Linked DNA regions of Struthio camelus. The protein of the gene in region 1 interacts with the protein of each later gene in a biochemical or structural test. Links are inferred from orthologs where the notes say so. Each region holds a gene or a part of one and is shown on either strand. Other genes may lie near its edges.

What was found. The genes of interacting proteins can lie anywhere in the genome.
Region 2: the proteins of SHANK1 (region 1) and CACNA1D interact in a biophysical measurement, tested with the Homo sapiens proteins (2 studies listed by IntAct, with this or other methods). The link is inferred for Struthio camelus from reciprocal best matches to the Homo sapiens genes SHANK1 and CACNA1D.
Region 3: the proteins of SHANK1 (region 1) and WWTR1 interact in a test that uses a peptide from one of them, tested with the Homo sapiens proteins (2 studies listed by IntAct, with this or other methods). The link is inferred for Struthio camelus from reciprocal best matches to the Homo sapiens genes SHANK1 and WWTR1.

Annotation. Positions count from the first base shown.
Region 1 is NC_090975.1:53,034-60,848, reverse strand, and holds the start of SHANK1 (SH3 and multiple ankyrin repeat domains protein 1), read right to left. Parts: upstream 3,340-7,815; 5' UTR 3,309-3,339; coding exon 3,267-3,308; intron 1-3,266. UniProt on the Homo sapiens protein: Seems to be an adapter protein in the postsynaptic density (PSD) of excitatory synapses that interconnects receptors of the postsynaptic membrane including NMDA-type and metabotropic glutamate receptors via complexes with GKAP/PSD-95 and Homer, respectively, and the actin-based cytoskeleton.
Region 2 is NC_090955.1:17,400,394-17,408,610, reverse strand, and holds the start of CACNA1D (voltage-dependent L-type calcium channel subunit alpha-1D), read left to right. Parts: upstream 1-4,913; 5' UTR 4,914-5,245; coding exon 5,246-5,282; intron 5,283-7,599; coding exon 7,600-7,918; intron 7,919-8,217. UniProt on the Homo sapiens protein: Voltage-sensitive calcium channels (VSCC) mediate the entry of calcium ions into excitable cells and are also involved in a variety of calcium-dependent processes, including muscle contraction, hormone or neurotransmitter release, gene expression, cell motility, cell division and cell death.
Region 3 is NC_090950.1:34,065,720-34,073,663, reverse strand, and holds the start of WWTR1 (WW domain-containing transcription regulator protein 1), read right to left. Parts: upstream 3,305-7,944; 5' UTR 3,261-3,304; coding exon 2,857-3,260; intron 1-2,856. UniProt on the Homo sapiens protein: Transcriptional coactivator which acts as a downstream regulatory target in the Hippo signaling pathway that plays a pivotal role in organ size control and tumor suppression by restricting proliferation and promoting apoptosis.

The sequences.
Region 1 (7,815 bases):
GGGCAAGAAACGGCCCCGCTCGGCCCCAAAACGGCCCCAAAATGGCCCCCGGAGCCGCCCCGGCGATGCTGGGCGAGAAACGGCCCCGCTCAGCCCCGAAACGGCCCCAAAATGGCTCCCGGAGCCGCCCCGGCGATGCTGGGCAAGAAACGGCCCCGCTCGGCCCCGTAACGGCCCCCGAAACGCCACAATCAGCCCCAAAAACAGCCCCCGCAGCCGCCCCGTGATGCTGGGCGAGAAACGGCCCCACTCGGCCCCGAAACAGCCCCGAAACGGCCCCCGCAGCCGCCCCGGCGACGCTGGGCGAGAAACGGCCCCGCTCGGCCCCGAAACGGCCCCCGACACGCCGCAATCAGCCCCGAATCGGCCCCCGGAGCCGCCCCGGCGACGCTGGGCGAGAAACGGCCCCGCTCAGCCCCAAAACGGCCCCGAAACGGCCCCCGCAGCTGCCCCGGCGACGCTGGGCGAGAAACGGCCCCGCTCGGCCCCGAAACAGCCCCAAAATGGCTCCCGGAGCCGCCCCGGCGATGCTGGGCAAGAAACGGCCCCGCTCGGCCCCGAAACGGCCCCGAAACGGCCCCCGCAGCCGCCCCGGCGACGCTGGGCAAGAAACGGCCCCGCTCGGCCCCGAAACGGCCCCGAAACGGCCCCCGCAGCCGCCCCGGCGATGCTGGGCAAGAAACGGCCCCGCTCGGCCCCGAAACGGCCCCGAAACGGCCCCCGCAGCCGCCCCGGCGATGCTGGGCAAGAAACAGCCCCGCTCGGCCCCGAAACGGCCCCGAAACGGCCCCCGCAGCCGCCCCGGCGACGCTGGGCAAGAAACAGCCCCGCTCGGCCCCGAAACGGCCCCGAAACGGCCCCGAAACGGCCCCCGCAGCCGCCCCGGCGATGCTGGGCGAGAAACGGCCCCACTTGGCCCCGAAACGGCCCCGAAATGGCCCCCGCAGCCGCCCCAGAGATGCTGGGCGAGAAACGGCCCCGAAACAGCCCCGAAACGGCCCCAAAACGGCCCCCGCAGCCACCCCGGAGATGCTGGGTGAGAAACGGCCCCACTCGGCCCCGAAACGGCCCCCGCAGCCGCCCCGGCGATGCTGGGCGAGAAACGGCCCCGCTCGGCCCCGAAACGGCCCCCGCAGCCGCCCCGGTGATGCTGGGCGAGAAACAGCCCCGCTCGACCCAAAATGGCCCCAAAAACGGCCCCCGGAGCCGCCCTGGCGATGCTGGGCGAGAAACGGCCCCGCTCGGCCCCGAAACGGCCCCGAAACGGCCCCGAAACGGCCCCCGGAGCCGCCCCGGCGATGCTGGGCGAGAAACGGCCCCACTCAGCCCCGAAACGGCCCCGAAACGGCCCCCGCAGCCGCCCCGGCGATGCTGGGCGAGAAACGGCCCCGCTCGGCCCCGAAACGGCCCCGAAACGGCCCCCGCAGCCGCCCCGGCGATGCTGGGCGAGAAACGGCCCCGCTCGGCCCCGAAACGGCCCCGAAACGCCACAATCAGCCCCAAAAATGGCCCCCGCAGCCGCCCCGGCGATGCTGGGCGAGAAACGGCCCCGCTCGGCCCCGAAACGGCCCCCGAAACGCCACAATCAGCCCCAAAAATGGCCCCCGCAGCCGCCCCGGCGATGCTGGGTGAGAAACGGCCCCGATCGGCCCCAAAAACGGCCCCAATTTGGGTCCGTCCCCGCCATTTTGCGGTTTCCCGCCTTTTTTGCGGGTCCGCCCCACGCTCCGGCCCCCCACGTGCGCTTAGTCCGACCCCCATTTTGGCCCCCCCAAAACCCTGCCCCCCTACATTTTGGTCCCCCCTCTATTTTGGTCCCCCCCCAAATTTCATGGTCCCCCCCCATTTTGGGGTCTCCCTCTTATTTTGGGGTCCCCATGTCGTGCCCCCCCCATATTTTAGTCCCCCACATATTTTGCGCCCCCCCCGTGCTTTGGTGCCCCCATATTTGTCCCCCCCTCCCCATTTTTCAAGGTTCCCCCCCCAATTTTGGTACCCTCCCCCCAAAATTTCAGGATCTCTCCCCCTATTTTGTCCTCTCCCCCCCAATTTTGGGTCATCCCCCCCCACTTCTTTAGGTTCTCCCCAATTTGGGTTAATTTCCCCCATTTTCGGGGTTCTCCCCCAATTTTTTGGCCCCCTCCCCCACATTTGGGGATTTTCCCCTCATTTTGGGGGGGTCCCCCCCCATTTCCTGGGATTTCCCTCCCCTTTTTGGGGTTCCCCTCCCCCATTTCTCAGATTTATCCCTCATTTTGGGGGTCCCCCCCATTCCCAGTGCCCCCCCTATTTTGGGGGTTCCCCCATCCCACCCCCGAGGTTCCCCCCATTTTTGGGGCTCCCCCATCCCTGCTGCCCCCCCTTTTTTGGGTCCTCCCTACCCCTAGTGTGCTCCACCATCTGTGGAGACCCCCCCCAATTTTGGGGTCACCCCCACCCCCAAGGTGCCCCATTTTTGGGGTACCCACCCATTTTTGTGTTCCCCCCACCCCCAGGGTGCCCCATTTCTGGGCACCCCCCATTTCTGGACCCCCCCATTTTCGGGGTCCCCCCATTTTCGGGGTCCACCCCCACCTCAAGGTGCCCCATTTTTGGGATTTCCCCCCAATTTTGGGGTCCCCCATCGTCCCACCCACCCCTGGGATGCCCCATTTTTGGCTCCCCCCCATTTCGGGGTCCCCCCACCCCCGAGCTGCCCCATATTCGGGGTCCCCCCATTTTTGGGGTCCCCCCACCCCGGGATGCCCCATTTTTGGCTCCACTCAATTTTGGGGTCCCCCACCCCCAAAATGCCCACCATTTTCGGGGTCCCCCCCAATTTTGGGGTCTCCACACCACTGAGATGCCTCCCCCATTTTAGGGGTCCCCCCCACCCCGGGATGCCCCATTTTTGGGATCCCCCCATTTTCAGGGTCCCACCACACCCAGGGTGCCCAATTTTCAGGGTCCCCCCCACCCCAGAGGTGCCCCTTTTTTGGCTCCCCCCCAATTTTGGGGTCCCCCCACCCCCGGGATGCCCCATTTTTGGGACCCCCCCATTTTTGGGGTCCCCTCAACCCTGGGTTGCCCCATTTTGGGTGCCCCCCAATTTTGGGGTCCCCCACCCCCGAGATGCCTCCCAATTTTCAGGGTCCCCTCCCACCCCTGAGGTGTCCCATTTTTGGCTCCCCCCCCAATTGTGGGCTCCCCCCCAGCCCCTGAGAGGCACCCCCCCAATTTTTGGGGTGCCCCCTCCCCATTTTTGGGGCTCCCCCCCCCCAGCTCACCGTCTGGTGCAGGTCAGGGATGCCGATGCGGAAGACCATCATGCTGAAGTGGCCGTCGGCGGCGGCGGGGGGCGGCGGGGGGCGGCGGGGGCCGGCGCGGGGCCGCCCGGGCGCCGGCTTAGCGGGGCCGGCCCGCCAGCTGCCCGAGTCCGAGTCGCCCTCGGGCCCCTCCGACGCGCGGCCCCCTTCCTCCTCCTCCTCCTCCTCGCTGGAGGGCGGCGGCGAGCGCGGCATGCTGCCGGCGGCCGCCCGCCGCCACCATCACACGCGCCCCTGCCGGGCACAGGCCACCCGTCACGCGCTGCCCCCACCCCGCGCCGCGCCCCGAACGCCCACGCGCTACCCACCCGCTCGCGCACGCTTGGGTGTGCGTGCACACGCTTGGCCGCGGTGCACGCTGGCAGGGCGGAGGGGTGCCGGGCAGCAAGGCGGGGGTCTCTGAGCACCCACACGCCACCCACACGCTTGCACACGCTTGGGTGTGCGTGCACACGCTTGGCCACGGTGCATGCTTGCACGACGGAGGGGTGCCGGACAGCAAGGCGGAGGTCCCTGAGCACCCACACGCCACCCACACACTTGCACACGCTTGGGTGTGCGTGCACACGCTTGGCCGCGGTGCACGCTGGCAGGGAGGAGGGGTGCCGGACAGCAAGGCGGAGGTCCCTGAGCACCCACACGCCACCCACACGCTTGCACACGCTTGGGTGTGCGTGCACACGCTTGGCCGCGGTGCACGCTTGCACGACGGAGGGGTGCTGGGCAGCAAGGCGGAGGTCCCCGAGCACCCACACGCCACCCACATGCTTGCACGTGCTTGGGTGTGCATGCATGTGCTTGGGTGTGCGTGCACACGCTTGGCCGCGGTGCACGCTGGCATGGCGGAGGGGTGCCGGGCAGCAAGGCGGGGGTCCCTGAGCACCCACACGCCACCCACACACTTGCACACGCTTGGCCGCGGTGCACGCTGGCAGGGCAGAGGGGTGCAGGGCAGCATGGCGGGGGGTCTCTGAGCACCCACACGCCACCCACCTGCTTGCACACACTTGGGTGTGCATGCGTGTGCTTGGGCGTGCATGCACACGCTTGGCCGCGGTGCACGCTGGCAGGGCGGAGGGGTGCAGGGCAGCATGGCGGGGGGTCTCTGAGCACCCACACGCCACCCACACACTTGCACACGCTTGGGTGTGCATGCGTGTGCTTGGGCGTGCGTGCACGCGTGCAGGGCGGAGGGGTGCCGGGCAGCAAGGCAGAGGTCCCCGAGCACCCACACACTTGCACACGCTTGGGTGTGCATGCGTGTGCTTGGGCGTGCATGCACACGCTTGGCCGCGGTGCACGCTGGCAGGGCAGAGGGGTGCCGGGCAGCAAGGCGGGGGTCTCTGAGCACCCACACGCCACCCACACACTTGCACACGCTTGGGTGTGCATGCGTGTGCTTGGGCGTGCATGCACACGCTTGGCCGCGGTGCACGCTGGCAGGGCAGAGGGGTGCAGGGCAGCATGGCGGGGGGTCTCTGAGCACCCACACGCCACCCACCTGCTTGCACACACTTGGGTGTGCATGCGTGTGCTTGGGCGTGCATGCACACGCTTGGCCGCGGTGCACGCTGGCAGGGCGGAGGGGTGCAGGGCAGCATGGCGGGGGGTCTCTGAGCACCCACACGCCACCCACACACTTGCACACGCTTGGGTGTGCATGCATGTGCTTGGGCGTGCATGCACACGCTTGGCCGCGGTGCACGCTGGCAGGGCGGAGGGGTGCAGGGCAGCAAGGCGGGGGGTCTCTGAGCACCCACACGCCACCCACACACTTGCACACGCTTGGGTGTGCATGCGTGTGCTTGGGCGTGCGTGCATGCGTGCAGGGCGGAGGGGTGCCGGGCAGCAAGGCAGAGGTCCCCGAGCACCCACACACGCTTGGGTGTGCATGCGTGTGCTTGGGCGTGCATGCACACGCTTGGCCGCGGTGCACGCTGGCAGGGCGGAGGGGTGCCGGGCAGCATGGTGGGGGTCTCTGAGCACCCACACGCCACCCACATGTTTGCACATGCTTGCACATGCTTGGGTGTGCATGTGTGTGCTTGGGCGTGCGTGCACGCGTGCAGGGCAGAGGGGTGCCGGGCAGCAAGGCGGAGGTCCCCGAGCACCCACACGCCACCCACACACTTGGGTGTGCATGCACATGCTTGAGTGTGCGTGCACACGCTTGGCCACGGTGCACGCTTGCATGACAGAGGGGTGCCAGGCAGCAAGGTGGAGGTCCCTGAGCACCCACACGCCACCCACACACTTGCACACGCTTGGGTGCGCATACGTCTGCTTGGGTGTGCATGCACACGCTTGCGTGTGCAAGCATGGGCTGGGGTGTGCGTGCACACGCTCGGCCGTGCTTCGCCCTTGCAGGGCGGAGGGGTGCCGGGCTGCAAGGCGGGGGTCTCTGAGCACCCACACGCCACCCACACGCTTGCACACCATGCACACACTTGGGTGTGCACACATGTGCTTGGGCGTGCATGCACCCGCTCGACTGCGCTGCACGCTTGCAGGGTGGAGGGGTGCTGGGCAGCGCGGCGGGGGTCCCCCAGCACCCACACGCTTGCACACGCCTGGGCGTGCATGCACACAACTGGCCATGCTGCACCCTTGCAGGGCAGAGGGGTGCGAGGCAGCACGGCGGGGGTCCCTGAGCACACACACGCCACCCACACGCTTGCACATGCATGGGTGTGCGTGCACGTGCTTGGGTGTGCGTGCACACGCCTGGCCGCGCTGCACCGTTGCAGAGCGGAGGGGTGCCGGGCAGTGCGGTGGGGGTCCCTGAGCACCCACACACTTGGGTGTGCATATGTGCGCTTGGGTGTGCGTGCACACGCTTAGTCACGCTGCACGCTTGCACGGCGGAGGGGTGCGGGGCAGCGCGGCAGGGGTCCCCGAGCACCCACACACTTGGGTGTGCATATGTGTGCTTGGGTGTGCGTGCACACGCTTAGTCACGCTGCACGCTTGCACGGCGGAGGGGTGCGGGGCAGCGCGGCGGGGGTCCCTGAGCACCAACACGCCACTCACACGCTTGCACACGCCACCCACACGCTTGCACACACTTAGTGTGCACGCACACACCTGGACGTGCATGCACACGCTTGGACGTGCACGCACATGCTTAGCCACACGGCACCCTTGCAGGGCGGAGGGGTGCGGGGCAGCGCGGCGGGGGTCCCCGAGCACCCACACGCCACCCACACGCTTAGACAGGCGCCTACCCGCTCACGCTTGCACACGGGCCCCCAGGCGCCGGGTTGCACACGCGCGGCCACGCTGCCGCCCTCGCCCGCCGGCCCCGCACACGCCTGCACACGCCTGCGCCGCCCCGGGTCGCCCTTGGCGGGCTAAATTTGGCAGCGGGCGAGGGAAGTGGGGCGGCTCCCGGGGGGGGACACGGCTGCGCCCGCCCGCACACGCCAGACCCAGATTTGCCGCCCCGGCGCCGCTGTGACATTGGGGGCCCTTGTCCCAGTTGCGGGGGCGGCGGGCGGGGGCGGGGGCGCACACGTGGCGGGCCGTGTGCGTGCACGACGGGGTGCGTGTGCGACGGAGCGCGTGCATGCACGGGGCACATGCGTGCTAGTGCGTGTGCGACGGAGCGCGTGCATGCACGGGGCGCATGCGTGCTAGTGCGTGTGTGTGCACGACGGGGTGCGTGTGCGACAGAGCATGTGCATGCACGGGGGCACACGCATGACGGTGTGTGTGCATGCACAACGGGGTACTTGTGCAACGGAGCGTGTGCATGCACGGGATGCATGCATGACAGCACGTGTGCATGCACGACGGGGTTGCGAATGCAACGGAGCATGTGCATGCACGGGATACATGCATGATGGCGCGTGTGTGTGCACGATGGGGTACTTGTGCAATGGAGCGTGTGCATGCACGGGATGCATGCATGACGGCGCGTGTGCATGCACGACAGGGTTGCAAATGCAACAGAGGATGTGTCTGCACAGGGGTGCACGCATGACGGAGCGTGTGCGTGCACCACGGGGTGCAAATGCGACAGAGCGTGTGCGTGCACAGGGGTGCATGCGTGAGGAAGCGTGTTCGTGCAAGGGTGCACGCCTGAGGGAGCGTGTGCGTGCGCAGGGAACAGCGCACGCCCGAGGGAGCAGGTCTGCACACCTGAAGCGGGCGCGCACCATCACGCGTGTGCACGCACGGGGCTGCTGCGGCGCACACGCAACAGCCTGTGTTCACCTGCACACACCTCGTGCACGCTCACGCGGCTGCATGCGGCTCGCACACACCCCGTGCACGAATGCACATGGCCCGTGCACGCTCACGCGGCTGCATGCAGCTCGCACACGCCCCGTGCACGAATGCACACGCCCTGTGTACACCTGCACACCCCGTGCAAGCTCATATATCCCCATGCATGCTCACACCACCCCGTGCACGCGCACACCACCCCCTTGCACGCTTAAACACCCCCAGCGCACTCTCACACCCTGCGCACGCTCACACACCCTGCGCACGCTCACACCTTATGCAC
Region 2 (8,217 bases), on another chromosome or scaffold:
TAACTCTGAAGTGGCTACACTTTCAGTTGGATATTCAAAGCAAGTTAGTGAAAAGATTAAGTAAATACTGAAAATAGTTAAGAAGAAGAACTATACCTAGAGAGAGAGAGAGAACTCCTGGAAGAGTATTAACTGTATTGCTGAGTAATGGTATCCTAATTCATGCCACAGGATGCCAAAGAGTCTAATTAGTCAGGAAAGCACATTTCATTAAAATCTTAGCAATTCGTTGTGAAAAAATCCAACTGGATTGTAAGTTTAATAGACTTCCACTGTGTTCAGAAGCATATTATATTCTAAATACTTACAGAAAATGAAAAAATATAGTTTCAGAGACATATACAATAGTGTTTTATCCAAAATTGTGTTTGCAGTTGTCCATTTCTATTTGGGTACCACTGTATAAAGTCCTGCTGAGAGGCTAGGAAAAAAAAATTAGTATTTTTTTTGCTGAGTTGGTAAGCATTAGTGGAGACCACTAGCTATTTACTTAATCTACAGGCAATCTGAGACATGCTTGAAACTGTTGAAACAAATGAAAACAGTGCTGTCTGCACAACTCCTTTCCTTTCCTCCCTTCCCTCCTTTCCTTCTCTCCTTCTGTCCCTCCTTCCTCTCTCCCCTGCTCCCTTCCCTCCTTCCTCCCTCCCTGTTTCCATACAAGTTTTCACAGAGAGATTTTTTCATGAATGTACAGATAGATCTTCAGCTAGACTGAATTAGTGTCACTCACTTCATTTACATTTAGCTTTCAAAAACTGTGTATTTTGGTGAGCTTACATGCAAATAGTTACACGGTAAGACCTCAGTGTAGTAGGTTTCTGGAATCTTGAATGTTTTTGTCAAACCCTAAATAGGAGAAAAGAACATCAGAACTGTGCCTAGTCTGCTATTACCATACTCTGCTCACCCAAATTAATAAAAAGACAATTATATAAAAACATAAAAGACTATTCTTGTAGAGAGCAAATCAAAATTAAGTGTCATTTCCTCTTGGAAGATTTCTTACCTCTTAAATCTCGAGTATGGATAAAGTCAGTAACATGGAAGATTAAGCCTCCCTCTCATCATTATTCTGTGGTGAATTCATGTATTTTAAAATCCATTTATGCACATTTTAATCTATTTTTGAGATCTCCAGTTAATAGGTTTTCAGAGGTATGCACTTTTTATGGTTTTCCTTATAAACTGCATTCATAATAGTGAAGTGCTTTTTCCAAGTTCTTTAGAGAGTCACCATTACTTGTACTGACATCAGAAAGATGGTACTCGCTGATCTGACATAAACAAAATTATGGACACATTTAAGTTTCATTACGATCTTTCTTAGATAAAAATTTGAACAACATCTCCAAACTCAAACTGTAGCTGTATGATACTTCAGGCTACAAGAATGAAAATAGAAGTCTTTAGGCAAGAAAAGAAAAGGTGATGCATCTGAAAACGTATACAGAATTAGAAGGAAATACATAATATTAATGAGAATGAATTCTGCAAGTCCTTGTTCTCCAACATATCTTTCATTAAAATATTCCTCCCACATATAAGTGTAGAAATAGATTAGTATATGTTAGTATACTAATAACTACAGCAGGACTATTAAAGTTAATAATGGATTAACCCGCATGAGTGAGAATTACTTGCTTGTGAAGGACTAGGCTAGTTCTGTTGCTTCACATGTTTTATAAAATTATATATCTGTTACATAACTTCCTCCCACATGTATTTCACTTGGATTTGTTTGTTCCTTCTTCCTGCAATGAACCATTGCATAGTATTGCTGTGCACTATTCAACAAGCTCATAGGTAGCTTAAGTTTTCGTTAAGTAAGTTTACCCTTGTGCACAACACTTCCTAATTCTTAAAGAGCTTCTGCTCCTATGATGTCTATTAATGGGCTTCTTCTTTGGCTATCTGTTTCCCTTACAGAAAATAAATCTCTGACAAGCAATAAATGTTATCGGGGGGGGGGGAGAATAGTAATTTAGTGGGAAATTGCAATAAATGAATAATAATAATGAATATATTTGTTGCCTCCTCTACCATCCTTTAATATATAAAGGAAGTACACTGAGAATGGCATAGTGCAGACTGTATGGCAGATCAGGACATTCGTATTTAACTCTTCTCTCAATACAGGTTGTTTTCACTCAAAATCTCATCACTTATTACAATAGCTAGTAAACATTCTCAACCATCAATGTAATGCCAGACATTTCATTCATGAGGGAATAAATAATATCTAAGTGATATCAAAGTGAAGCAATGTAATTGAAATAAGCAGACACTAGTTTGTAGAAGAAAAAGGGAAAGCGCTCCTTAGAAGAATTAATGGCTTGAGTAATTTTCATATATACAATCTGGAAACAAATTTCAGATAATACTGAAGCAAGCATCAGCACCTTTGGAGTAAACAGTATCAATTTTCTTAAGCACTTTCTCAAAACTTTCTAAAAGAATTTGCATTTCATTTCTAACTATATAGGACATTACTTTCATGTGGTCTGAAAAACATAACAAGAATAAAAATAACACACACTTTTCACATGCAATTATGTTGTAAAAGAACCATTTTGATTTTGAAAATACAGTGGATCCCTTGATCCAGCCACCAAAGGCTGGATAGCTTTTGAAATTAGGAAGACTATATGCTTACAGTTTTGGACCAGCTGTGAAAAAAGTTCTATCTTAAATGCAAGAACTGTTTGATTCATACTTTGACTGGGAGGCTCACAAATCTAATAAGTTTGGTTTTGAGGAGTATTTGGTAGCTTCCCGTATACATTGCTATGGTCCTTCATAAGGACAGGGGATTAGAAAATATAAGCATTGGCAAAGCCAAGAGCCAGGAATTTCATGAAAAAAATTTGCAGGAGAGGCAGCCTTTTTCTATAGGATGCTCTTTGCTTATGTTAGCTCCAGGTCTTATTAGTTATGAATTTGTCAATAGTGCCTCAGTGTTTAAGTTTATAAGCCTCATTTAAAAAATGGTTTAGATACCTAAGTCTAGATTTATAAAGGTACTAAGTGCCTAAGCAGGTTAGGCACCTAACTCCTGATAAGCATGTTAGGTGCCTACTCCCAGCGCCTCCCAGGCATCCAGTCTTGATTTAGACACTTTTGAAGATGAACCAAGCATTTTTAGGCCTTTAAATATCTGACTGTAAAGAACTTAAGTCCTACTGACTTTCATGGGCATTTAAGGCAGGTGCCTAAGCACCTAGACTGTTAAGATTTTGTCTGGAAAAAACACACAACAAAAGATACAAAGCTCTCAATTCAGAGTGGCACCTTCCCAGTTAAAGCAACAAAACCCCAAGCCAACAGATTGACTCAAAACTGCAACAGCTGAATCGGATCAGAAGGTCATGAAAAAATAAGTGTTCAAATCAAGATCAAGCAGTCACAGGGGCATAGGAATTTTCCTTCTTTAATGGACTTCTTGCTGAATGCTTCTGAAGTAGCTTTACCAGTAATGGTTTTTATCCTTTAATTTACAAAAATAACATCAAAAGGGATGGACTGCATGTAACTGGGAGCTTTTTAAGAAACTGGAGGATGGGTATTCTTCACCATCTCCTTGGAGAATGTCAGCAATATTAAGGTTTTATTGCTCTTCTAATTACTATCTTTAGTTTTTATTTATTATTAATTACATGAAGATAATTGTGGATGAAGAATGGCTAAAAGAGAGGATAGGGACATGCATAAGAAAGCATCAGGGGAATGAGGTTAGTAGAAATAGTTTCACTGAAATGTTTTCTCAACAAAATGGCACTTTTGTCAAAGTGTAAAGGTTCAAAACATTGCTTTGGATGATAGCTTGTTCAGAAAAGTATCCTGAAATAGTCTTAAAATCTGAAAATTTTCATTGCAGAAAAAAACAACTTTAACTTTGAAGCATCAAGTATGTTTCAAATTTGTATTTCTCTACATCATACTCTATTTCATTAATTACGGTTTACAGTGGTTGAAAGGCTACTTTTTACGGTGGCAGGTAAAGACAGCTGCCCTGACAGAAAGGTATTTTTTTTTTTTTACATCAGCACGCATGACTTCTACAGGTATTTCAAGAACAGTGGAACCAAACTGAAATTCAAAGTACCGGAGGATTCTGCAGTGAAAATGAAAATTTTCAAATTTATTCCAGTTAGTCATTTCAGGGAAAATTCTGAAAATACCTGGTTTTCGCTTGGACCCAGAAGGACACGCCTTTCAATAAGTTAATTCAGCAGGGAGCTCAAGGTTTGAGTAACTTTTCTGGGGGTGCAACGGCTGAGCCTGAGAGGAGGCATCGCAGCAGGGACGAGGCCCGAAGCCCCCGAGGCGGCCGGTTGCGGCCGCGGCGCCGGCGCTTCAAGCCGGGCGGGGGCGAAATGGCGGCCGCGGCCGGAGGCGGGAAGGTGCGAGGGCGGCGCGGGGCGCCGGGCGTGCGGGCTGTCAGCTGCGAAGGGCGCGGTAGCGCGAGCGCGTCGAGAAGCAACACGTTTGAACGGTGGTTGTCCGGGGCAGCGACACAGGCCTGTGCGCTGGGGCAGAGAGAGCAAAGGATAGCGGTCACAGGGATCGGCGGGCGGCCGTTGGCTCTGAGGGGGGGGCATGGCTCGCGGGGCAGCGGGCTCGGCCGCGGCGGGCCCTGAGGGCGGGCTGAGGGACGGTGGCGGGCGGGAAGGGAAGCGCCGCGCTGCGCGGCGGCGAAGGGGTTAAGCCGCTGCCGCGGTTCTATTTGCGGCTGCCGCCGCTCCAGGCGATTAGCGCGCGGCTCCGCTCCCCCGCCCCGGCCGGCCGCGGGAGCGCGGCAGCAGCAGGTGGCGGTGGCCGCGGCCCCAGCGGCGGCGGCAGCAGCGAGGGAGTTAACCCTGTGGCGGCGGCGGTGAAGGGGGCAGCGGTGGCGGCGGCAGCGGCAGCAGCAGCAGCAGCAGCAGGGGGACTGAGGATCAGGCAGCAGCAGCAGCCGGGTTGCTAGGGATGGAGAGATCCCGTGTCACCCGGATGTGAGTGTCATGTTGGCCCAAACTCTAAGGGATTTGGCAGCGGCGGCAGCAGCAGCAGCGAAGCAGCAGCAGGAGCAGGAGCAGCAGCAGCCCCTCGTGTGTCGCTAGACACTACCATGGGGGTCGGATAGTGGGGAGCGCAGAGGGCAGCGCACACCTGGCTTGGGAGTGGGTCGGGGGCGTCGCTGCTTTTTTTCTTTCTTTCTTTTTTTTTTTCCTCCTTTTCTCACACACCGGAGAAAGTGAGAATAATGCATTACCACCAGCAGCAGGAGCAGCACCCTGAAGGTAAGAGCCGGAGCGCCCACCAAGGGCAGCAGCATCCCCGGGGCTGAGGGGAGGGGGAGGCGGGGGAGGATTTGTGAGGGATTTGGGAGACGGGGATTTGGGGGGGGGGAGGATTAGGGAAGGGGTTGAGGATGGGGTAGGTTTGGGGTGAGCGTTTGCGCTTGAGGAAGGGACCAGGAGAAAGGGCTCGGGGAATAGGAAGGGCACGGGATAAGGTTAAGTAGCGACAGGGATGCTGCCCTCGGTGCGTAACTAACATGGGAGCGGGTTTATACATGTCTGTTTCTGGCCTCAGGGCTGTTAATATCAGCTGGTTGGGCTGAGAGAGGCAGAGAGAGGACATGGCTTTGTGCATGTTTCTCTCTTATTTGTGTAATTGGGGATGAACCTGCCTGGAAATGCCGCTTCCCAGGGGCTTTCTTGGGCGGGGGGCGGGAGGGCAGGTGAGGGGTTATTACAGGGCTTTGGATACGATGTTTTCAGCCCACTTCCCCGTCACGTCGCTGCCAGGAGCGTGCAGAGAGACGACACATGGGGCTCCTATATGTTAATCTCCTTCGCAAACAGGCTCCGGCAGCGCTACATCCCCCATTGTTGTTGTTGTTGTTTTTAAAAAAAATGATTCCTCCCTCTTGAAATTAGCAGTAAGTTTGTATTTTTGTCCCTGCTGGAGGGCAGGGGTTCCCCCCGGGGAACACGGACACTCGGGCTTTGTTTCACTTTCAAGTATTGATTTTAAAATGATGACAGATAGATTGGTGGTTTATTTGTGCCGAGCCACGTTTCATGGCATTTCAAAAGGCTGGCGGAAAGGAGGGGGGGAAGAGATGGCTGTGCCGTTGCTTTTTAAAAAAAAAAAAAAAAAAGGCAAGAATCTTTCCCTTGGAAAAATGTTGGAGATTAAATTCACACCTTTCCCTCCGTGTCAAACCGTAACCGGCGGAGGAACTCCTCTTCTTGTGTAACCTAGGCAGGGACCAGCTGTTGATGTGCCGCTTGCTCTCTGATGGCCACCTCCGCCGCTCGCCATCCCTGCTGCTAGATCTGCGCGGAAAATCTGCTGGTTTCAGAGGGAAACGTGTGGGCTAAACCGGGGAGTGACACCCCCTCCCGGCACCGCCAGCCCCGGGAGCCATTTTAGTGCGCCCCCTCGTTCCCCGCGCGCCGCTTCCCGCCCTCACACACGGCGAGGCGCGGAGCGGGGCCGCGGGAGAGGCTCCCTCTGCTCTGCACACGCATACCCTGGGCTCGTACCTCTTTCTGTTATTTACTTCCCCCCCCATGCAGAGGAGGAGGAGTGTGATTTTTGTCGAGGGGACTTCGTGTCTCGTTTACGTGTGATGAGCAGCGATCGCCGGGGAGTTGTTTTCCTCTCCCGCCTCGGTAGCACCAGAATGAACTTTCAGTCATTCCGTCTGAAACTCCCCGTTCGCGTAATTGCGCCGTTCCTCCATTTTTTTCCCCACCCAGGCATCTTCAAGTTTTATATTTTCTTAGGAATATCTCCTTCCTACAGGTGCATTTAGGAGTAGGCTCTTGCTCTAGTCAAAGGGCTTACAAGGAAGGATCCTTGCTAGGTGGTGGTGTTTTGCCTTCTGTGCTGACATCTCGATTAACAGAACTTCAGTAACTGTTTTGGAGGTGAAATATGTTTTTTCCTTGTAAAAAATAAATAAATAAATAAAAGCATTTCTTTATAGTGGTTTCACTCGTGGAATTTGCGATGTGGAAGATACCAATACTTTATGAGTGTATTTATCACCAGACAGTATCTAATTTTCACTTGTTGGAGGCATCCATGCATTTTTCTTTGAGAATGCAGAATAGGGCAAGATTTAAGTTGCTTATAGGAATTTTTTTTGGTAGTATTTCAAAGAGTGTTGAATATTCTCAATTAAAAATGTGCAAGAACTTTAAACTACTACTTTTTTGATCAAAATGAAGTGAGGAAATAGTAAGTGTTCAGGTGCTATAACAAGTCGGTTATAAGAAGGAGGTATGGCTATTAGACTTGAGTATAGTGACATGAAAGCTGCTATCCAGTTTGGAACTGTGAACTAAATGGAAGAATCAAAATTTGAGATATTTCTCTGTGGTACTTGTCTTGACACTCAGATTAAACTTAAATTTATACTACTGATTCTTGAACCTTATTTTACTGTGCAATTACATAGATACTCATGCTATGCAGTATCTGTGGTGGAAGCATCACACCATCGAGACTTCTTAAAATCTTTTTATCAACAATGTTATGACATATTTTATCATAAAAAATATAACCAAGTACTTTTTTCTTTTTTTTTTCCTTCTCTCACAGAGGCGAACTATGCAAGTAGCACCAGAATTCCTCTCCCTGGTGACGGACCAACTATTCAGTCAAACAGTTCAGCACCATCCAAGCAAACTGTTCTGTCTTGGCAAGCTGCAATTGATGCTGCTAGACAAGCAAAGGCTGCCCAAAATATGAGTACTACCACAACCCAGCCTGTAGGATCTCTGTCCCAAAGAAAACGCCAGCAATATGCCAAGAGCAAAAAACAGGGTAACACGTCTAATAGTCGGCCACCCCGTGCCCTTTTCTGTTTATCCCTCAACAACCCAATACGAAGAGCCTGCATTAGTCTAGTAGAATGGAAGTATCCTCTGATGCAGTTTTCTTTTTTATCATCTGTTCTTTTGTGTTTTCCAAATGTATCAAGGAGATTGTCTTAACAACATCTCTTACAGCTTCTCAGCTACAACGTATTAGTTTGCCTGCATGTATGTGAGTAACTCTCATTAATGTTGATGGTAGTTAATTTTGCGTAAATTCCTGTTGACGATAGCCTCTTAATCTGCGTCATAATGACGCAGAGTATCATTTCACTGAAGTAGGTAACTCAGAGAAGAGCTCATAGCTGTCCCTTATTTCTTGGGGAAGAGGATTTCACATTTA
Region 3 (7,944 bases), on another chromosome or scaffold:
CTTCATCGCATTTATACCACTTTTCCTCACCGTGTTCTGCTGAACCTGTTCAGTAATATAAAACTGACCATGTGTTAGATCAAACTTTTCCACCAACAGAAACTGGTAGCAAAAAGTGGGGCATGTCAGGTAAATCAAGTACTTAAAGTAATCAGCCTGCTTTCCCCTGAACAAGCTTTTACTGGCAAATATGTCCTCATACGGCAAATGTTTACCGTAACGTTTTTAAAAACCGCTGTGATAAAGGTAACAGCAGCAACAAGTTTCACAAATCGGCTCAGTGCAAACATCATACTCTCTATACAGATGTGTTTACCTCCTGGAGTGAAGTCACAGTCTGATCAGAAGCACGGCACACACACACCGAGAAAACACTAAAGCCTTACACTTCATTTGAAATACGAGGCTGCAGTACCTAAAATCAAACTGGCAGAAAGCAATACTTGAAAAATTCTGATGACAGAATATGTGTACACAGTTCAGCATGTGGATCAATAGGCAACTGATATTCCCACTTACCAACGTAAGAGCTACACAAGGCATTTTGCCCATCTTTCCAGAAATCCTTTTTATCAGAAAGAAGTCACACTTAAACTTTTTTTTTCCCCCCACACATGCACACACAGAAAAATGCTTTAGATAACATTGCTGTAAGTGAGTGTGTGTTTATTAGTCTGTTTTCCATCCCCCACTTCTGTGGCTTGGTATTTAATTACAGGGTGGAGTGGTCCCGAGGCTACTTATGTTTCTTCCAGTCACAGCCAGAAAACTTATGCAGGAACTGACACGCAAGGCCGTGATTTCTGCAAGTTATAGCTGGTTCCTGGTCAACGAGGCCAACTAAGGCTCACTGCTCATTTAAAGTCCCATCGTTACTTTCGTTTAGTAATTCTTGATAATACATTTAAGTAAAACAAATTGCATTTCAAACCTCAACAGATCATAAAGGCTTTAATACAACCTAGTTTTTTGCTAGTTGCTCTCCACCTCCTTCTCAATTTTCTTTTGCCAATGACTATACACATGTGCATAGCATTAAGCTGAAAAGAAATGGTGACTTTTTTTGACAGGCAGCCCTCGGGTATACATAAATGTAACCTTATATGCCAGGTTTGACCAAAGAGTGTTTCCAAATGAATCATCTGACTTAAACACTATATATTATTTTGCACAGTTTTAAACGCCGCTTTCCATAAACAGGATTAAATTTCTGTAGAAAACGCTATTTTCACCTGAAAAACATTACACCACGGCAAAATATTATAATTCATAGATGGTCGTTTTATAGCTGAGTATTACCTCCCAAAACTATTACTGAGTAATAATGAAATAATTTATACCACTTAATTATTACAGAAATTTTTAAAAGTTCTAAATAAAACTGGTTAAACAAAACAGAAAGTCTACCTTAGGTAACAAATTACACTCGTATATTAAAAAAAAAGGATATTGTTAAGCAGAATATTCTACTTTTAAGAGGTATAAAAAACAGAATAAAAGCAGATTCACAAAATAAAGTTTCTCAAAACGTTCACCGATTCGATTATTGTTGATGTGATTTGGAAAAAATATAAAAGACACTTTTGGGTTTTCCCCACAGCTTTTCGAATAAGAGACTCGCATTTTTGGTCCAAGCAGCAGGAATTCATCAGCGTTTGGTGATAGGGAAAAGCCTCTCTGTCAGACATGTGTGATGGGAAAGATGAAACCACAGGAACTCATTTCGATATCAACCAAAAGCCAAACAGCAGACAAAAATTATGTTACATCGTTTTTAACAAGAATCTGAAAACACCTGCTGGCCAAACCCTAGTAAGTATTTACACAAAATATTTATCTCCAAACGATCTGTTACAGTGCTCCTATCAGCTTCCTCTTCTCTGGCCTGCTTTCTTGAGAAAAAACATATGCAAGATGCAGCGCAACAAGATCTCCTCGCGTAGGTGGTAAATGAGATCAGTAAAAAATTCACAAGTCTGAACCCTGGTACGTGGCCACCCAACATTATAAATCACATATACTAACACACAGAGTGGCAAAAGAAAGGAAATTAGTTTTCACACTTTGCTAGTAACTTGGAGTGTGACAAGAGGCAAGAATCCAAATTCTTCGGAGTAACTTCAGAGGCTGTCTTGGTTTTTGAATAATCCTTTGGAGATTCCAAAGCCTCCAGGTAATGAAATCACTGCACCAGGAGATGAATTACGTATTTACTGATTTTTCTAAAAAGGAAACATTGTAAACGGCTGAACTCAAACTACTACTTCTTCTCCTGACCAAGAAGGTCGTAGCGAAGGGGCAAACTGCCTCCTGCAGCGCTGGCCGTTAACCTCCCTCCTAGGCAGGGCCTTCACTAGTACGGGGCTACCGCCTGTTGGCCCAGTCCCTAAGGGGCCGCTTAACCTGCGGCGAGCCCGGAGCCAAGCCAGGCGCTGGATCACACGCTGCAGCGGCTCCTTACGGTCGCTACGTGTCTTCAGGCCCTAGCGCGCTGCTGTCCGTCAGAAACGGAACGCGTGGCCAAAACGGACCGGGGCCCGAGGGTGAGCAGCGGCGGGCGCCGCGCGCGGGGGCTGGCGGAGGGGCCGGGCCGGGGTGCCGGCCCGCCGCCTGCGGCCCCACGTCCCCTTGCCACGCGCGGCGACCCCCGTGACCAGCGCCCGGGCCCGTCAGGGAGCGGCGTGCCGGCTCCGCCGCGGCCTAGCGGGCGGCGCCCAAGCGCAGGTCGAGGCGCCCGAGCCGCCCGCCGCCGCCGGCCCTGGCGCCCACCTGCCAGGCCCGAAGCCCCGGGGTCCCGCCGCCCGCCCGGGGTCCCGCCGCCCGCCCGGGGTCCCGCCGCCCGCCGCCGGCACTCACTTGAGGAAGTACCGCTGTCCCGTGTGCGTGAGCGCCATCTCCCAGCCGGGCGGCAGCGGCAGCTCGTCCGTCACGTCGTAGGAGCGCTGGCGGAGGTGCGCGTGCTGCGGCGCCGCGCTCGCGCCCGCGCCCGCGCCCACCAGCGAGGCGGGCGAGGAGTGGGAGCGGACGTGCTGGGCGGCGGCGGGCCGCGGCGGCGGCGGGCCGCCCGAGTCCGTGCTGGACTGCCGCGAGTGCGCGCCCGAGTCGGGCTCCTTGAAGAAGGACTCGGGCAGGATCTTCTTCCTCCAGGAGCTGGGCTTGGGGTTCATGACGGCGTTGAAGAGCGCCTCCAGCTCCGTGTCCAGGTCCTGCGTGACGTGGATCACCTGCTGCCCCGGCGGCGGCGGCGGCGCCCCGTTCATCTTGCCGCCGTCGGCGGCGGCGGCGGGCGCGGGCGGCCCGGCGGGCGGTGCCGGGGCCGGGGCCGCCGCCGAGGACGGGCCGTGGGTGCCGGGCGGGCGGCGGGCGGCGCGGGGCGGGCAGTGCCTCTGCGCCCCGCCAGCAGCGCCGTGTCCCGGCGGGCGGGAGGGGCGGGCGGGTCAGCCCCGGGCAGCGCGGCGCCCGCCCCCGGGCCGGGCCGGGCCGAGCCGCGGCGGGGCGGGGGCGGGGGCGGGGGCCGGGCCGGGCCAGCCACCCCCCCCCCGCGCGACGGCAGTTATGCAACTGCCGCGGAAACTTCGGAGCTTGGGCTGCGGGGCGGGGAGCACCCCCCACCGCTGCGCCGCGGGGGGGCCGGGGGGCGGGGCGGGGGCGGTTCTCCTCAGGGCGGTGCGGGGGGGGCGGTTCTCCTCAGGATGGGGCGGGGGGGGCGGTTCTCCTCAGGGCAGTGCGGGGGGGGCGGTTCTCCTCAGGGCAGTGCGGGGGGGCGGTTCTCCTCAGGATGGGGCGGGGGGGCGGTTCTCCTCAGGGCGGGGCGGGGGGGCGGTTCTCCTCAGGGCGGGGCGGGGGGGCGGTTCTCCTCAGAGCGGGGCGGGGGGGGCGGTTCTCCTCAGGGCGGGGCGGGGGGGGCGGTTCTCCTCAGGGCGGGGCGGGGGGGCGGTTCTCCTCAGGGCGGGGCGGGGGGGCGGTTCTCCTCAGGGCGGGGCGGGGGGGGCGGTTCTCCTCAGGATGGGGCGGGGGGGCGGTTCTCCTCAGGGCGGGGCGGGGGGGGCGGTTCTCCTCAGGGTGGGGCGGGGGGCGGTTCTCCTCAGGATGGGGCGGGGGGGCGGTTCTCCTCAGAGCGGGGCGGGGGGGGCGGTTCTCCTCAGGGCGGGGCGGGCGGGGGGGGCGGTTCTCCTCAGAGCGGGGCGGGGGGGGGCGGTTCTCCTCAGGGCGGGGCGGGGGGGCGGTTCTCCTCAGAGCGGGGCGGGGGGGGCGGTTCTCCTCAGGGCGGGGCGGGGGGGGCGGTTCTCCTCAGGGCGGGGCGGGGGGGCGGTTCTCCTCAGGGCGGGGCGGGCGGGGGGGGCGGTTCTCCTCAGAGCGGGGCGGGCGGGGGGGCGGTTCTCCTCAGAGCGGGGCGGGGGGGGCAGTTCTCCTCAGGATGGGGCGGGGGGGGCGGTTCTCCTCAGGGCGGGGCGGGGGGGGCGGTTCTCCTCAGAGCGGGGCGGGGGGGGGCGGTTCTCCTCAGGGCAGTGCGGGGGGGGCGGTTCTCCTCAGGGCGGTGCGGGGGGGGCGGTTCTCCTCAGGATGGGGCGGGGGGGGCGGTTCTCCTCAGGGCGGGGCGGGGGGGGCGGTTCTCCTCAGGGCAGTGCGGGGGGGGCGGTTCTCCTCAGGGCGGGGCGGGGGGGGCGGTTCTCCTCAGGGTGGGGCGGGGGGGCGGTTCTCCTCAGGATGGGGCGGGGGGGGCGGTTCTCCTCAGGGCGGGGCGGGGGGGGCGGTTCTCCTCAGGGTGGGGCGGGGGGGGCGGTTCTCCTCAGAGCGGGGCGGGGGGGGCGGTTCTCCTCAGAGCGGGGCGGGGGGGGCGGTTCTCCTCAGAGCGGGGCGGGGGGGGCGGTTCTCCTCAGGGTGGGGCGGGGGGGGCGGTTCTCCTCAGGGTGGGGCGGGGGGGGCGGTTCTCCTCAGGGTGGGGCGGGGGGCGGTTCTCCTCAGAGCGGGGTGGGGGGGCGGTTCTCCTCAGGGCAGTGCGGGGGGGGGGCGGTTCTCCTCAGGGCAGTGCGGGGGGGGCGGTTCTCCTCAGAGCGGGGCGGGGGGGGCGGTTCTCCTCAGGATGGGGCGGGGGGGGCGGTTCTCCTCAGGGCGGGGCGGGGGGGGCGGTTCTCCTCAGGGTGGGGCGGGGGGCGGTTCTCCTCAGGGCGGGGCGGGGGGGGCGGTTCTCCTCAGGGTGGGGCGGGGGGCGGTTCTCCTCAGGGCGGGGCGGGGGGGGCGGTTCTCCTCAGGGCGGGGCGGGGGGGGCGGTTCTCCTCAGAGCGGGGCGGGGGGGGCAGCAGGTTCTCCTCGGAGCGGCGCCCGGGGGGGGCGGCGGGTTCCCCTCGGAGCAGTGGGGGGGGGCAGCGGGTTCCCCTCGGAGTGGGCCCGGGGGGGGCGGCGGGTTCCCCTCGGAGCAGTGGGGGGGGGGGCAGCGGGTTCCCCTCGGAGTGGGCCCGGGGGGGGCGGCGGGTTCCCCTCGGAGCAGTGGGGGGGGGCAGCGGGTTCCCCTCGGAGTGGGCCCGGGGGGGGCAGCGGGTTCCCCTCGGGGCGGCTCCTCGCCCCCCGCGGCTGGAAGACCTTCTGTCCGCGCAGTTCCCTGTTTTTAAAGCGTCGTGCGGGAAGCGCGGCGGTCACCTCCCTGGTCTTTGGAAGCAGAGCGATGATGCTTCCTTGGGTTAATTTATCCCAGCAGTTTTGTGGCGTAACGTAGCGGTCCTGCGGCCACGAGAGCCACGTCGCGGGGCAGGAGGGGGAGACGCGCGTGGTAACGCGGCCTGCCCGCGCTCGTCAGCGCTTGCGAAACGGTTTAGCCCCCTGTTGCCCGTAGGAATTTAGTGCAGAGTTTTGTCATGTCTTTACAAGTTGCTCTCCACAGGGGCAGATACTTCCAGCATCGCCCTGCTGCTGTTTGGGTCTGTCCTGACCCCCCGTCGCAGTCACGTGCCCTCCATTTACCCTACGTGAAAAGGCGTAGCTGTCATCACAATGCATCCCTGAGGCTTTTTCTCCAAATCAATTTTAATTTGTGCAAGTTCAGCTCCTTTTGAATCTTTCATTTTCCCGTGGCAGACTCGAAATGGCTTTTGAACGGTGCTGATGTGACCCCAAATTTGCTGAAATTCCCTAGCTCCGTCTGTAAGGAGTAGTACCGCTCACTTCCCAATTTGGGGCTGGTTTTTACTGTAGGAAGCATACAGCGTCTTCATGACTGTATGTGTACAGACATTACGCGTTCGCTACACAAACACACCATTTTAGTGATATGTTTCTTCATTTTATTTCTGTAGTTTGGGCGGACTGCAGGCTACGCTGGCGCTGACTGATAAGAACGCGTCCTCCTCCCTAATCTGAACCCACATTAGAAAAGTCTCAGGTAAGCCATGTTTTTCCTGATCTGATTTTCCTGATGTCTTGCCTTAAGAAGTAGCGTGGCCTGTTCTGAGCTGCCTTTGGCTCCTCTGAGTTGAAACTAGGACCTGTCTCCTGAGCAGTCCTTATCCCTTGGTTAGCGCTACGTTTCAGCTTAGCGCTGCAGACTCCGAGAGTCACAGTTTAAGTACATCAATTCTGCATTAGGCTCAGATCAGGGGAACAGGAGTTGCTCTTGCTTGTGCATTTCCTGGTTTCCTTGCTTCAACAAGTATGCTGTCATTTATTTATTTTTCCTTACCTTTCCTGTTCGTGTTTCCACTGGCTAGGCAGATCTCCTCCTTGTATTTTTTGCCACATCTGCTATGTTTCTGATCAGGAAGCACAGTACTCCTGAGACTTGTTTACACTTCCCTTCCCTGAGAATTTTCCCTGCTATCTTTTGTGCCATTCTTCTACTGCTTCCTTGCTGGGTCACTTGCTAGCAGTTTTACTAGCTCAGACAGCTGTGCTAATTAAGCACCTGCTGCAGGGTTATGTAGATATTACATATAATTTTTTTTCTGCAATTTCCTTGTTTAAAACCCTTGCATATCAGATGATTGCGTGTATGTGGCTATTGTGTAGATAACGATCTGAACATAAGTGCTTTTTCACGTAGCCTTTAAAAAGGCTGTTATGCTTCCTCCAGGCCTTCCTCTGTACCCTTCCCTACAGACACACCTATCTACCTGTTACATTCCTTTCCAAATGACATGCCAATTAAAGGCAAGACTCCGACAATCTCATTCACGCTGACATCTCATATAAATTAATTAGACCGCTTCCATAAGACAGCATTGCATTCCATGACTAAGCATATACCCACCTGTTCTAAACTTCAGTAGTATCATCCAGTGTAAAAAATACAACAATAACATGAATGCAACTCATTTTTATGTGCTGCTCAACAGAAATTCTGGTGTTCGACTGAAAGATCTGTGAAAGCGCAGCTCTTCAGGCGCGCCCTCTTAGTAGTCCGCCTTCTAGCAGCGAGTTCAAGAGCAGTATCTATGCTTCAGTGGAAAGCCAAGCAATCAGAGTAGGTGCACTTTCAAACATATCCTTAGAAAATGAGCGTCTAATGGTTTAAAGAAGCAATACCATATGTTGTCATTTTTAATCTAGATCCGTCCCTGCTTTGTAGAAAAGCCTTGCATGCATTAATGTGTTTCTCTGAGAAAGCTTATATAGGTGAAGATGCAGGTGTGATGTCTTAAGATAAAACCTTCAGGATTCCCTTGAAAAGTCTCCTTCCTGGGTAACTGACTAGCAATTACACGGTGCAGATCATGAAGAGCGTGCATGCTTCCTCCCTTTGGTAGTCATTAACTACATCTACCTGCTTTCATATATGTCAGTGAAAAAACAGCCATAAATAAAAGAAAGCTTACATGTCTGCAAAATGAAGACTTGGGTTGGTGCTCCAGAACGCATGCGAAGCGTATCCCCTGTAGCCAGCTCTGATGTGGGTTATTTAATACAAAGACCTGGTGTATATTGCAAAGTTTCACCAGAATAGCTATGTCAGCA